2 linked regions of the Caenorhabditis elegans genome follow. The protein of the gene in region 1 purifies or fractionates together with the protein of each later gene. This does not show direct contact. Each region holds a gene or a part of one and is shown in the gene's direction. Other genes may lie near its edges. The genes, in order: aat-1 and atgp-2.

Region 1 (4,887 bases):
TTCTATGGAACGTCCGATTGATTTTATCAATGTTTCTTCCGATGTGTCAAGTAAGAGGTGACCCCTAATTTATTGCCTTGTTGTGTTGTGTTTCATGCAAACTATTCAAAAATTTGGATGCGGACGATGAACAAAGAGGAAAAGAGATGGAGAGAGAGAGAAATTCGGAGAGTTTTGTTTATTTATGTTTATTTTATTTTCACGCTTTTTTGTTTTGCTTCCAACTTTGCATCCATGCGGAACTACTTTTTTTCATAAAAAAAAGTTTAAAAACGACACCGATGTTGTTTTAACTAATAGAATACACTTAATTATGGGAATTTTCTTATTATTTGTATATTCAAGACTTATTTTTGATTGAGGAGCGCAACACAAAATAAGAAGCTTTGATTGTTTTTTCATAATTGAAAAACTTACAAGTTGCTTCATTTGTAATCTACTATTTCTATTGTAGTACTCAATTTCCAGCTACAGACTCTATTAAACAATAATTAATTAAAACGCTCCAAATTTAATTTGTTCAAATATTTGTATCTTTTTGGTTCTAATTTCCATGTTGATTTTAAGAGATTTCAAAAAAAATTATTAAGTTAGCTTTGACAATATTGAAAGTCACATAAATATTTCTTAATGTATCATTGGTCCCATAGCTCATTTTTGTAACTTCCACGTTATGCCGATTTCCCTCACTTCTTTGGTTTCATCTCGTTTTATTTTTCCCTTTTGGTTCATGGTGAGCATTGCATTCACACGACCCTTCTCTTTGCCTCTTCCGACTCTTCACTTTCCATTTATTCTCACTTTGTTCTGTTTCTCCACATTTTTTCACAGATTTTTTGAAAAGTTTTGTACTCTTCGTTGTTTACAGAGTTTTTCGGTGTATTTGACGCGTTGTTTCGTTTGTAAATGCGTTGGTTTTTTTTCTTATTTTCCGAACTTTAGTTTGATTTTCTGGGCTAAAAAATAGAGGTTAGGTGAATTGTCAATCTGCGAAAATCCTGTTGAGCTTTTCCATTTGTCGAAATAAAACATCTATACATTTTTTTCGATTACTTATCAGTACATAAACAAATAGAACTGACCCTTTCCCTCAAATGTCTTTGTCTCTTCATCTCTCCCACTGCCTCACTCTATTCATAATATTTTCATCCAATTTTCCGCTATGTTATTCTAGTATTTCTTATCATTTCGATTACGTGTTCTCTCCACTTTCTGCTGACCGACATGAAAAATTCATATTCTTTTTCTTTCGATTTCCAATATGATTTCCCCCGAAAAAGAGTTTTCTGCTTTTCACTGCTAGCTCCTTTTTGGCTGATGTAATAGCAAAACATTGCGCGGTCACTTCTTTTTTTGTGCTTTTCTGTGTCCTTATATCCTTCAGTCATTCTTTTTTTTAAATAAAAAAATCTAGTTGGTCACAAATCCGCCTCTCTTTTTCAGGCGATATTTTGTCAGCACTTCTTCTAAATTGTCATCATTTTTCAGATTTGGCACATTTAGACAGAGCTCACGTTTCTCGAAAGTTTACTGACTAGTTCATTCCGCGTTGAAAAATTAGCTCATAGTTACCCATTTGTAAAAAAATTGAATTTTTTTTAAATGTTATCTAACTTTTTGGTTTTATTGTTCTCTTCGATATTATTTTGGCATGCCAAAAATGTTTCAGGAAAGATTAAGAAATATACCCTTCATATAAAATTGTACCCGTTTTTTCAACACTTTTTTTCTACTGGCTCCGTCTTACGTGAAAATATTACTTATTTTTCAGGATGACAGCTGAAAAGGAGCCGTTAAAATCGAGAGAAGGAGATGAGGCACCACAAAATGAAACAGAAGGAAAAGGAAAAGGTCTTGAAAAGAGTTTGACACTATTCAATGGAGTTTCAATGATTGTTGGATGCATTATTGGATCTGGCATTTTTGTATCACCAACTGGAGTGCAAGAACGTGAGTTGATAATTTTTCAAGTGAAAGTTGTTTATTCAAAAGTCGCCTATTAAAAAAAAATTTTTTTGAAAGCTGTTTGGGAAAAATACTCGAAAAAACGAAAAATGTAGTTGATGTATTTGATGTATTTGAAATAAACTACGTACTTTCCAAAATTTCATTTACTTTCAGAAGCCGGATCAGTTGGACTCTCTCTTATTGTTTGGCTCATCTCCGGTATTTTCACAGCAATTGGCGCATATTGTTATGCAGAACTGGGAACTCTTATCAAGAAATCAGGAGGAGATTATGCATATATTATGGAAGCATTTGGACCATTTGTTGCATTTATTCGTCTTTGGATTGAGGCTATCGTAGTCCGACCATGTACTGTGACTATTGTTGCACTCACTTTCGCCATTTACGGACTGCGACCATTTTTCCCTGATTGTGCCCCACCAGATGTAGTCGCTGAGCTTCTCGCGATTTTGTTAATTGGTATGTGATTCTTTTTTTTAACTGAAATTTTTTTACAAAATGTATCTACATAACTATATGTATATTTAATAACCGTTACGTTTCAGTTCTGATGACTGCAATCAACTGTATTTCTGTTCGGTTGGCAACAATTGTTCAGGATTGGTTTACTATTGCAAAGGTTGTTGCTCTGTGTCTTATCATTTTAACCGGACTTGGTCTCCTTTTCTTTGGTGAGCACTTAAGCTATTCTGTATTTAGAAAATATAAAAAATTTCAGGTGAATCTCAGTACAAGGACTCATTCGAGAATATTTTTGAGAATACATCTCAAGATTTTACAAAAGTTTCACTTGCTTTCTACTCTGGATTATTCGCTTATTCTGGATGGAATTTCTTGAATTTCATCGTCGAGGAGTTGCAGAACCCAAAACGGTAAGTTTCAGTGATTGTATAGTTTACATGAAACACATTAACACAGTTTTTACATTCCAATTGTTTTTATTTAAAGTTTCAGAGCTGACTATGAGTAGTTTATTGGTCTACTTTAATCTGTTGTAGAATACTTGTCAATTAATCTAGCAAATTATTTTAGGTTCTAATTGCATTATGAAACAGTAAAAAAAATTTAACGATATATTATTTATTTTCTTATACCATAATTTTCAGAAACCTTCCACTCGCAATTGCCATCTCTATCACATCCTGTACCGTAATCTACGTGCTAACTAATGTGGCTCTCTACACAGCAATTTCACCAGATGAAATGCTCGAATCCCCGGCTGTAGCGGTACTTTTCGCCAATAAACTCTATGGAAAATTCGCATTTATTATGCCACTCTGTGTTGCATGTTCCACAATTGGATCAGCTAATGGAGTTATTTTCACTTCAGCGAGACTTTTTTATTCCGGTGCTCGTGAAGGACAAATGCCAGCTGTATTGACAATGATTAATAAAAAAACGAAAACACCGATTCCCGCTGTTATTCTTACCGGAGCTCTTTCTATTGCTTACTTGTTGGCATCAAAGGATGTGTATCAATTGATTAATTATATTCAAGTAAGTGTGATAGCTTTTTTTTTTTAATATTTCCCGGTACTGAGTTTCTTGAAGCATCAATTTTAGAAGCTTGAATTCAAGCTTCAAAAAATATGCATGTTCTCGAACAAGAAACTTTCATTTTCTAGATCAGTTACTGGCTTGCAATCGGAACAGCCATTGCCGCACTCTTCTGGCTTCGTAGAACCATGCCAGATGCATCAAGACCAATTAAAGTTCCACTCATTTGGCCAGCTATTTTCCTTGCTGGATGTATCGCTCTTGTTCTTATTCCAATGGTAGCTGCTCCAAGAGATACGGGTTAGTTTCCAATTTCAGAAAGAGAATAAAAATTTGAATTTATTACAGGAATTGGTCTACTTATCATGCTTTCCGCTGTCCCCGTCTACGGAATTTTCATCGGATGGAAAAACAAGCCAAAATGGTTCAATGAATTCATTGGTAAGTAATTTTCAACAAATGTTTTTTTTCTTCATTTTCAACTTGTCAATTGTACCGTATTTCAGACAGCTCAACTGTTTTCATTCAAAAGCTATTCATGGTTGTCGACGAGGATAAGGAGGATTAGAATTTCTAAAGTTCAACTTTCGGTCTCGGGTTTCTTTTTATTTCATTTGTCAAAATTCAATTTTTCAAAACTTCCACAATCCACCAGTATTCTTTTTATCTGCGTTTTTGTTTCACTTTGTCATCCGAACATCATCATTTTATCATTAAATTCAATCAAACACAAAAAATACATTCACAGTTTCGACGAGGCTTTAATTCTCTTTTTTCTTTTAATTTTTCGTGAAATATCGTGAAATAAATTTATTTCAGTGATTATTCTGAAATGTTTATTCAAACAGCAATTGAGTTCCTTTCAAGAAAATAGTATCAAAGTTAGCTGTTTTCTGAAAAGAGAAAAATAATTTAAACAAGTAATGCATTTTATGGTGGATAGCTTTGTAACTTCACAGCTTTGTATCTGCAGAAATGTTCAATACATTGATATAATTATATGCAAATAAAAATTCCACAATAAAACTGACACACTAAAAAAATCTAAAACTGTTGGCACTTATTGAAAAGTTGAAACAGTATATATATATTTTTCCGAATTTTCGTTTTTTGAAGAAATTGATCAGAAATATTTTAAAATTCGAATGGGAGAGTTTAATACTTGGCTATACTAACAAATAATGAATCAGAAAACATTTGAATATTGTGTAACACCAAAACTTCACATACTATCGTAACAATACATTGTTGGTACTTATGGGAAAGGTGAAACAGAATTTTTTTTTGAATGTTTAGTGGTGTCAACAATGGAATTACACCATTTAACATAGAAAAACAGTTGGATCAGAAGCTGCAAAAATCATATCATGATTAATTGCCGGTAACTGAAAATTGGAACAAGTTTGAAAATAAATTCGATCT
Region 2 (6,534 bases), on another chromosome or scaffold:
GTTTTTAGAAAAAGTTAAAAAAAAAAAGAAAAGAAAACCAATAATTTTTTACACTTTAAAAACACCAAAAATCTGCCAAATCAGAGTTTTAATAGCAGTTCTACAATCTTCAAAAGTACTGAAAAAATAAACTGAAAAATTCAGATCGAAATTTCATGAACATGAAAATTTCAGTCTTGAAGTTTGTAAGTAAAATTGAAACTTGTTTTGAAGTTTTGAAGAGAATTGGAATATGAAAACCTTTTCCCTAGCTAACTTTACTTCTCAGTTAACCTTCAACCAAACACACTTCTTCTTCCAATTCATGTCTTTCCCAGTAGTTATTGTTTTGTTTTCATCTCTTTCATCGTCGCTCAAAGCCTCTGCGTCTCTTCACCAACTCCCTCTCCCTACCCGTTTTCGCAACAACGTCTCCTTTCAAATTCGTTCTCTTTTTTCCCTGCGTCTAAGCTATTCCTTTGCTCCCTAGCGGTTAGTCAACAAATAGTGAGGATTCGCCTTCTCCTTTGAAAAATCGGCAAATTTTTCACGCTTGTTTTCTTCATTTTTTTTGCAACTTCTCGATCAATCTTCCTCAAAAATTGACCTGCTGTTGAGATTAAGGTGGACATGTGTTGATGAGTGGCTCTTTGAATGCTTAGTTACACTTTTTCTCGTGTCGTTCGTCCTCCTTTGACAAGTCACCGATACCGCGCGGCGCGGCGAGAGTGAAATATCGGGTTACTTAACTCTTTTTTGTATACCTATACCACTTGAAAACCTAGGTGATGTTCAAGGGGATTTTGATACGACCACAGTTTCACGCTTTTGATTTTGAAAAAACTTCAGTTTTGTAACCTTACACTTTTTCCATTTTAATGACTTTTTAGTTACTATATTTTTTATAAATTGAAACTTTTGTTGATAAGATTTTAAAAAAAACTTCGTGTGTTCAATTCTGAAGATTTTTAGTTTTAATTGAAGCTTTTTGCTTCTGTACTGTAATTTGCAAGATTCTTCTGATGATAATTATCCTAAGATTTTTTGTAGATCTTTTGAGACTCAATTTGTAAATAGGTAATAAGTAGGGTTTAGATAATTTTGAGCATTTTTTGGGAATTTTTGACCAAATTTTTCTCAACATTCTATATTATTTTTTTAAATTTTTTCTCATAAAAAAATGGAAACAGTTTCCAATTAATTACCAAAATTTATCAAAAAAAAATCTTAATTTCAAAAACAAACATTTCAATTTTCAAAACTTCAATATGCCACACAAAATCCATATTACTCAATAAATTTGTTTATAATATACACAGTGAATAAAATTGGTATGCTCTCATCTGGTGGGAATTGTCTATTCTGCATCCTAATCCTATATTCATTAGCCCATCTTCCTTCTCCCTCTGAATTCTATTGGGACCTCTATAGAATAGAGAAAAAAAGCCGAAAGTGAGCTTCTTCTTCTTTTTCTCCTTTCTCGTATTTCTCTTGACTTTTAAACGACTTTTTCTTATTTTTTTCCCTTGTTGTACGTTTACGTGTTTCCTGGATTTTTTGCTAAATCTTTTAGTTCAGGTTTTCGTGAAAAATTGTATGGCTCTGCTTTTTGGTTAGCTAAAATTTTGTGTCCTTCATAATTTTTAGTAAGAATATCTTTAGGAAAACACAAAAAGTTTAATAACGTATTATTAATTTTTTTATTGTACCCAAAACTTTTGCATCTATGCTTATACCATTTTAACTCATTTTTGAAAAAAAAACTCCGCGGCCAAAATTATGCCGCACCTATACCTTTGGCTTTTTGCAGTAAAGTTTCTAGAATTATTTTTTTCCTGTGACTTACATTTTTCAATTTCCTGAAATTCCGTCAAAACCTTCTTGTTTTAATCATTGTTCTTTGTTCCCAAGTTCACTGAACGTTATCATTTTTTGCAGACAGTCAAAATGGACGCCACCGACCGGCTAATGCCGGGTCCCGAGGGCAAGACACCAAGGTTAGTACAAGCGATAAATGGGATGATCTGGGTCGTTTGGAATGTCCTTTCTAGAAAATTAAAATGATAAGAAAACTGCAAATCATCTTTGTTCTTTAGGTTCAATTTTTCTATTCAGTCTGCTGTGCAGTCTGCCGAAATACCCATTCATTTTTCTTCATTTTCTTATTATTTTGCTAGCAAGTTAAGGAATGCGCAAATCTTCTATTCTTACTTCTAGTGCATTTTTCAGTTAAAAAACTAATCATAAAATTTAAGTAAAAATTCGATAATAAATTTCCAGGTTTTACGAAGTAGACCGTGGCAACAAAACTGAAAGCTACATTAGTGCGGTCTCTGGAAACCCCGTAGTGCCCGAACACATTATGCGGAAGGAAAAACGACAAGAACAAGAAGAAGCACCTCCACAAAAGTCTTGGGAACGACCACCGGCTCCCACTAATCCTAAAAATACTGATCAAATCGGGTTGAGCGAACAAGAGTTGGAGCAGTTTAGAAATGATCCTTGCTGGAAGTTTATTAGGTAATTGATTTTTTATAACTTGAATTTTCTGCCAGTGTTACTTTGGCAGTAGGCATTAAGCAGGAAAGGGAATACATTTTGTGCCTGCCGCCTGTAATACTAGAAATGAAAATAATTGTGCGCATTTATTTTGAATGGTCCTACACTAAACACATACCTAAACTAAAAAATAAAAGCCATGCCGACTGAGTGGGTGCTTAATCAGTAACTCAAACAATTGATCTTCGTTATTTACTTCGTTATTTACTTGGCTCTGCGCCAATATTTTCGTTTAAGGATGGAAGACACGTGGTGAAAAAAAAAATTAAAAGTACGTTGTATGGAGTACAGTAGCTAAACAACCTTCAAAGTTTTCAAAAGTTGTTGCGAGATTTTAGTGTTTGAAATCAAGAATCCAATATTTTCAGAACCGTCCTTTTTGTGCTCTTCTGGCTCATTTGGCTTGCTCTTTTCGCGGTTGCAATTCTCCTGGTCTGCTTCTCCCCAACCTGCGTCCTACGCGCAAAGCCCAACTGGTGGCAGACAGCCGTAGCCTATCACGTCTGGGTACCGTCCTTCCAGGATTCAGATGGTGATGGTGTAGGAGACGTCGATGGACTTATTAATCGACTCGATCAATTGAGAAAGTCCGGAGTTCAAACAGTGTGGCCTTCTCCGTTCTTAATATCGGATGATGAGAAGACGGCTGTAAGAAGTTTCAGTCAAATGGACCCAAAAATTGGTGTGAATCAGAAGGCTGATGAGCTTATCAACAAGATTCATGAGAAAGGTAATCGTAAACTTTACATAACTTCATAGGCCAGAAAATTTTGCAGAAATGAATATTGTAATAAGTTTCCCTATTGCCACCACCTCACTAGAACACGAATGGTTCTTGAACTCAGCGACGGCAAGCAAGACACCAAATGCCAACTATTCGCAGTTCTATACTTGGGTCAGCAAGGCGGCAGACTCCAACTTTTTCACAGAGCACAAGAATCTCTTCTATCTTCATGAGAAAGGTATTGAATTTCATCATTAAGAAAAACAGTTCTACTACTAGTTTCAGGAAATCCAAAATCCGCTGTACTAAACTGGCAGAACAGTAATCTCCGTGAGCACATGTTTAATGCTCTTTCCAACTGGATTGACCGCGGAGTCGATGGATTTGAGCTTCAAGGAATCGAGTACCTTGCAAGAACGCCAAATGGTACAGAACCTGACTGGAACTCAATTTATGACGTCATAAGGGATATTAGATTCCATGTGGATTCCTACTCGAACGAGAGTACAATTGCCGATGGAAAGAAAATGTTTGTCAGAAAGAAAACTTAATTTTTTAAAGTTGAAATTTCAGCGCCTTATTCTCTACCAGAGAAGAAGCGAAGGAGAAGGACAAGAAGCGTATGGCAAAGAGTGGGATGGACACAGTCATCAACTACGAGTTGGGAGAAGTTGAGAAGGACACTAGTGAGTTCTTATCGTACCTGAAAACTAATAGGTACAAGTTCATTGCAGAGATTTGTCACAAGAACGAGGGATCAGTTGCCACTTGTGTTCACGAGATTCTGTCCGACGTCCTGCTGTTCCATTCGTTGAACGAGCAAGTTTGGCCTCATTGGAGAGTAAGTTTTGTGGGGCTTTTGGAGAAAAGATTGTGAAATCGTGGCGGCGATTTAGACTAACTTAAATTTAGAAATTCGAATTTTAGTCATTTTATTGTAAATTGAAATAATTTCCCCAACAATTCATATGGGACAACACAAGAAAAATCTATAAAATAGGCCCGTTACCACCTTGAGAAGGCGGAGACACATACACAAAACCTAGTGGCAGGCGAAACCCGCAAGGTGTCGGCCGCACGTCTACCCTCCCCTTTATAACGACCGTCGGTTTTGAACGTACTCGGCGGTGCTCGTACGTATTTCGGTCTAGATTGATCTCGCTATAAAATAGTTGACGAACTTTAGATTGAATCAAACCATGACGAGGACCGGGAGCTCCCGTTCGGCTCGTGATGATGCCACGGTCCTAGAGCTCCCTCGATCAGAGGTTTCCCACTGACTGGCTATCCGGTGGATAGATTCATCCAGTCCTGGTGGGTTCTGTCACGTTACAGGCCTCACTCCCCCTAGGTTAGACAAATTCAAAATTATCTGAGCACCGCCGATGTGAGCTCCGCTTGTTAGGAGTTGTCAAAATTTTTTTTGCCGTGTATTATTTGAGGAAGTAAGCATGAAACATTACCAAAGAAAAATTTCCGGGAGTCAAATCGTTTTAATTATTTTGAAAAAAAACTTTCTAACATTTTCAGTTCGGCTCCCCGGACCTGGCTCGAATTGCGTCCCGTGTCGGATCCCGTCCACATGCACAACTCCTGATGGTTCTCCAAATGATTCTACCTGGAACTAACAATATCTACTACGGTGAGGAAATCGGCATGCGAAATCTGGCGAATGACTCCAGAGTCCCACCACAGAAGGGTGCGATGCAATGGGATGACTCGTTGAACGGAGGATTCACATCAGCCATCAGTCCGCCGGTTCCGTCAAATATCGACGTGGCGAATATTAACTGGAAACGGCAATACGCTGAGCCTCAGTCAACATTGAAGATTTTCGCGAAACTGGCGAAATTGAGACAGAGAGAAGATGCACTGATGACTGGAACCACGCTGATTGGGCGACTAGTTGATGGAGCATTCACGATTACGAGATTCAATAATTTTGAAAATAGAACTACTGGAAATGTGAGTTTTTTTCTTATATCATAGGGAAATTTTTCAAAAATTATGAAAAGTTCAGATCTACGTAGCCGCTCTCAACTTTGCCGAGCATCCAGTAAAACTTCCACTGACAGACTTGCCAAGCAACTCAAAATTGCATAAATCTACAGTGAGTTTTCGAAATTTATAAAAAAAACTGCCAACACTTGTTACCTTCTTTTTGTTATTCATAGAAAAAGCAACTCCCCTATTATGAATTAGTAACACACATGCAATATCGATGCACATTCAATTTCCGAATTGCAGATAGTCACCGCCACATCCAACTGTGTCGCCTACTACGCACGTCAGACAGTAGACTTTGGCTTAAAGGAAATCGAATTGGAACCAAATGAAGGCGTCGTGTTCCGCTATTCAGCATGATTATCTAATTCATCTTGTTATGCAAGGTTTTCCAATAATATGTGTCAGAACAAAACTCTTAGAACCAATTTTTTTGTAATTTTCAATTTTTCTATGTTACCTCGGCCCCCGATTGCTTTCGTTTTCCCTGTCAACAATGGTGCATACCTTCGTTTTTTCCTCTTTCTTTTCTTCGAATTTCTCAAATCCCCGCTACTTATTTATATGGTGTGACATATCCGCCCCGCGTGAATTGTTAATTTTAAAAATTAAATTTTTATAATAAAATATACAATTATTGTTGAAAGCCACGTGCTGCAATGCAACAAAAAATTGAGCTTAGGGCTTTTATGGCAAGAATGCACGCCGTGCCTGCCTGTCTGCCTTTTTCGTTCGACATACGACTTTTAATCAACAATAGGTTATTTTTCGACCTTACTTTTTTCTACGCTCTCCAATGAAGTTTGTGCTTTGCATATGCCATTAGTAATATTATGCAAATCAATCATAAAATTAGACACAGAAAAAAGTGATTAAAGCTGGTTAAAACAGATGTCTTAGTAACTTTTTGATGTATGAGTTTTAGCATTTTAATTGATTGGCAGCCGGGTTAACAGCTATGAAAATAGGGTATAAAAAGTCATTAAAATGCGTATTAAATATAACATAGTTCTCTATGATTCTTCAATTTTTATAATAATTATTTTTTTTATTGTTATTATTGCACAAAACTGCCTCATCCCTTCCAACCAGGTTGTCTTGAATGCAGGCCGGCATTTTTGGGTATAGTGTTAAAAGAATTTTGCATATTGCGTAGTTTATGATTTGAGAACTGATGAAAATCAGGTAACTTCCAAATCTTTACGCATTGTTGGCTAATTTTCTCTCATTAACATTTCAAACACACATTTTTTTTCTCTGACTTTTCA

The links.
Region 2: the proteins of aat-1 (region 1) and atgp-2 purify together in Caenorhabditis elegans (co-purification; one study listed by BioGRID). This does not show direct contact.

Annotation. Positions count from the first base shown.
Region 1 is NC_003282.8:9,598,580-9,603,466, reverse strand, and holds aat-1 (Large neutral amino acids transporter small subunit 1), read left to right. Parts: upstream 1-1,771; 5' UTR 1,772-1,772; coding exon 1,773-1,950; intron 1,951-2,121; coding exon 2,122-2,427; intron 2,428-2,513; coding exon 2,514-2,639; intron 2,640-2,686; coding exon 2,687-2,840; intron 2,841-2,957; exon of another isoform or gene 2,958-2,978; intron 2,979-3,074; coding exon 3,075-3,465; intron 3,466-3,593; coding exon 3,594-3,765; intron 3,766-3,813; coding exon 3,814-3,906; intron 3,907-3,971; coding exon 3,972-4,033; 3' UTR 4,034-4,289; downstream 4,290-4,887. Other genes in the region: F27C8.2 (N-acetyltransferase domain-containing protein), read right to left, coding at 4,788-4,887.
Region 2 is NC_003280.10:14,639,467-14,646,000, reverse strand, and holds atgp-2 (Glycosyl hydrolase family 13 catalytic domain-containing protein), read left to right. Parts: upstream 1-1,917; 5' UTR 1,918-1,926; coding exon 1,927-1,976; intron 1,977-2,259; coding exon 2,260-2,499; intron 2,500-2,906; coding exon 2,907-3,268; intron 3,269-3,314; coding exon 3,315-3,500; intron 3,501-3,547; coding exon 3,548-3,791; intron 3,792-3,835; coding exon 3,836-3,948; intron 3,949-3,996; coding exon 3,997-4,103; intron 4,104-4,385; exon of another isoform or gene 4,386-4,687; intron 4,688-4,792; coding exon 4,793-5,227; intron 5,228-5,282; coding exon 5,283-5,372; intron 5,373-5,509; coding exon 5,510-5,626; 3' UTR 5,627-5,903; downstream 5,904-6,534.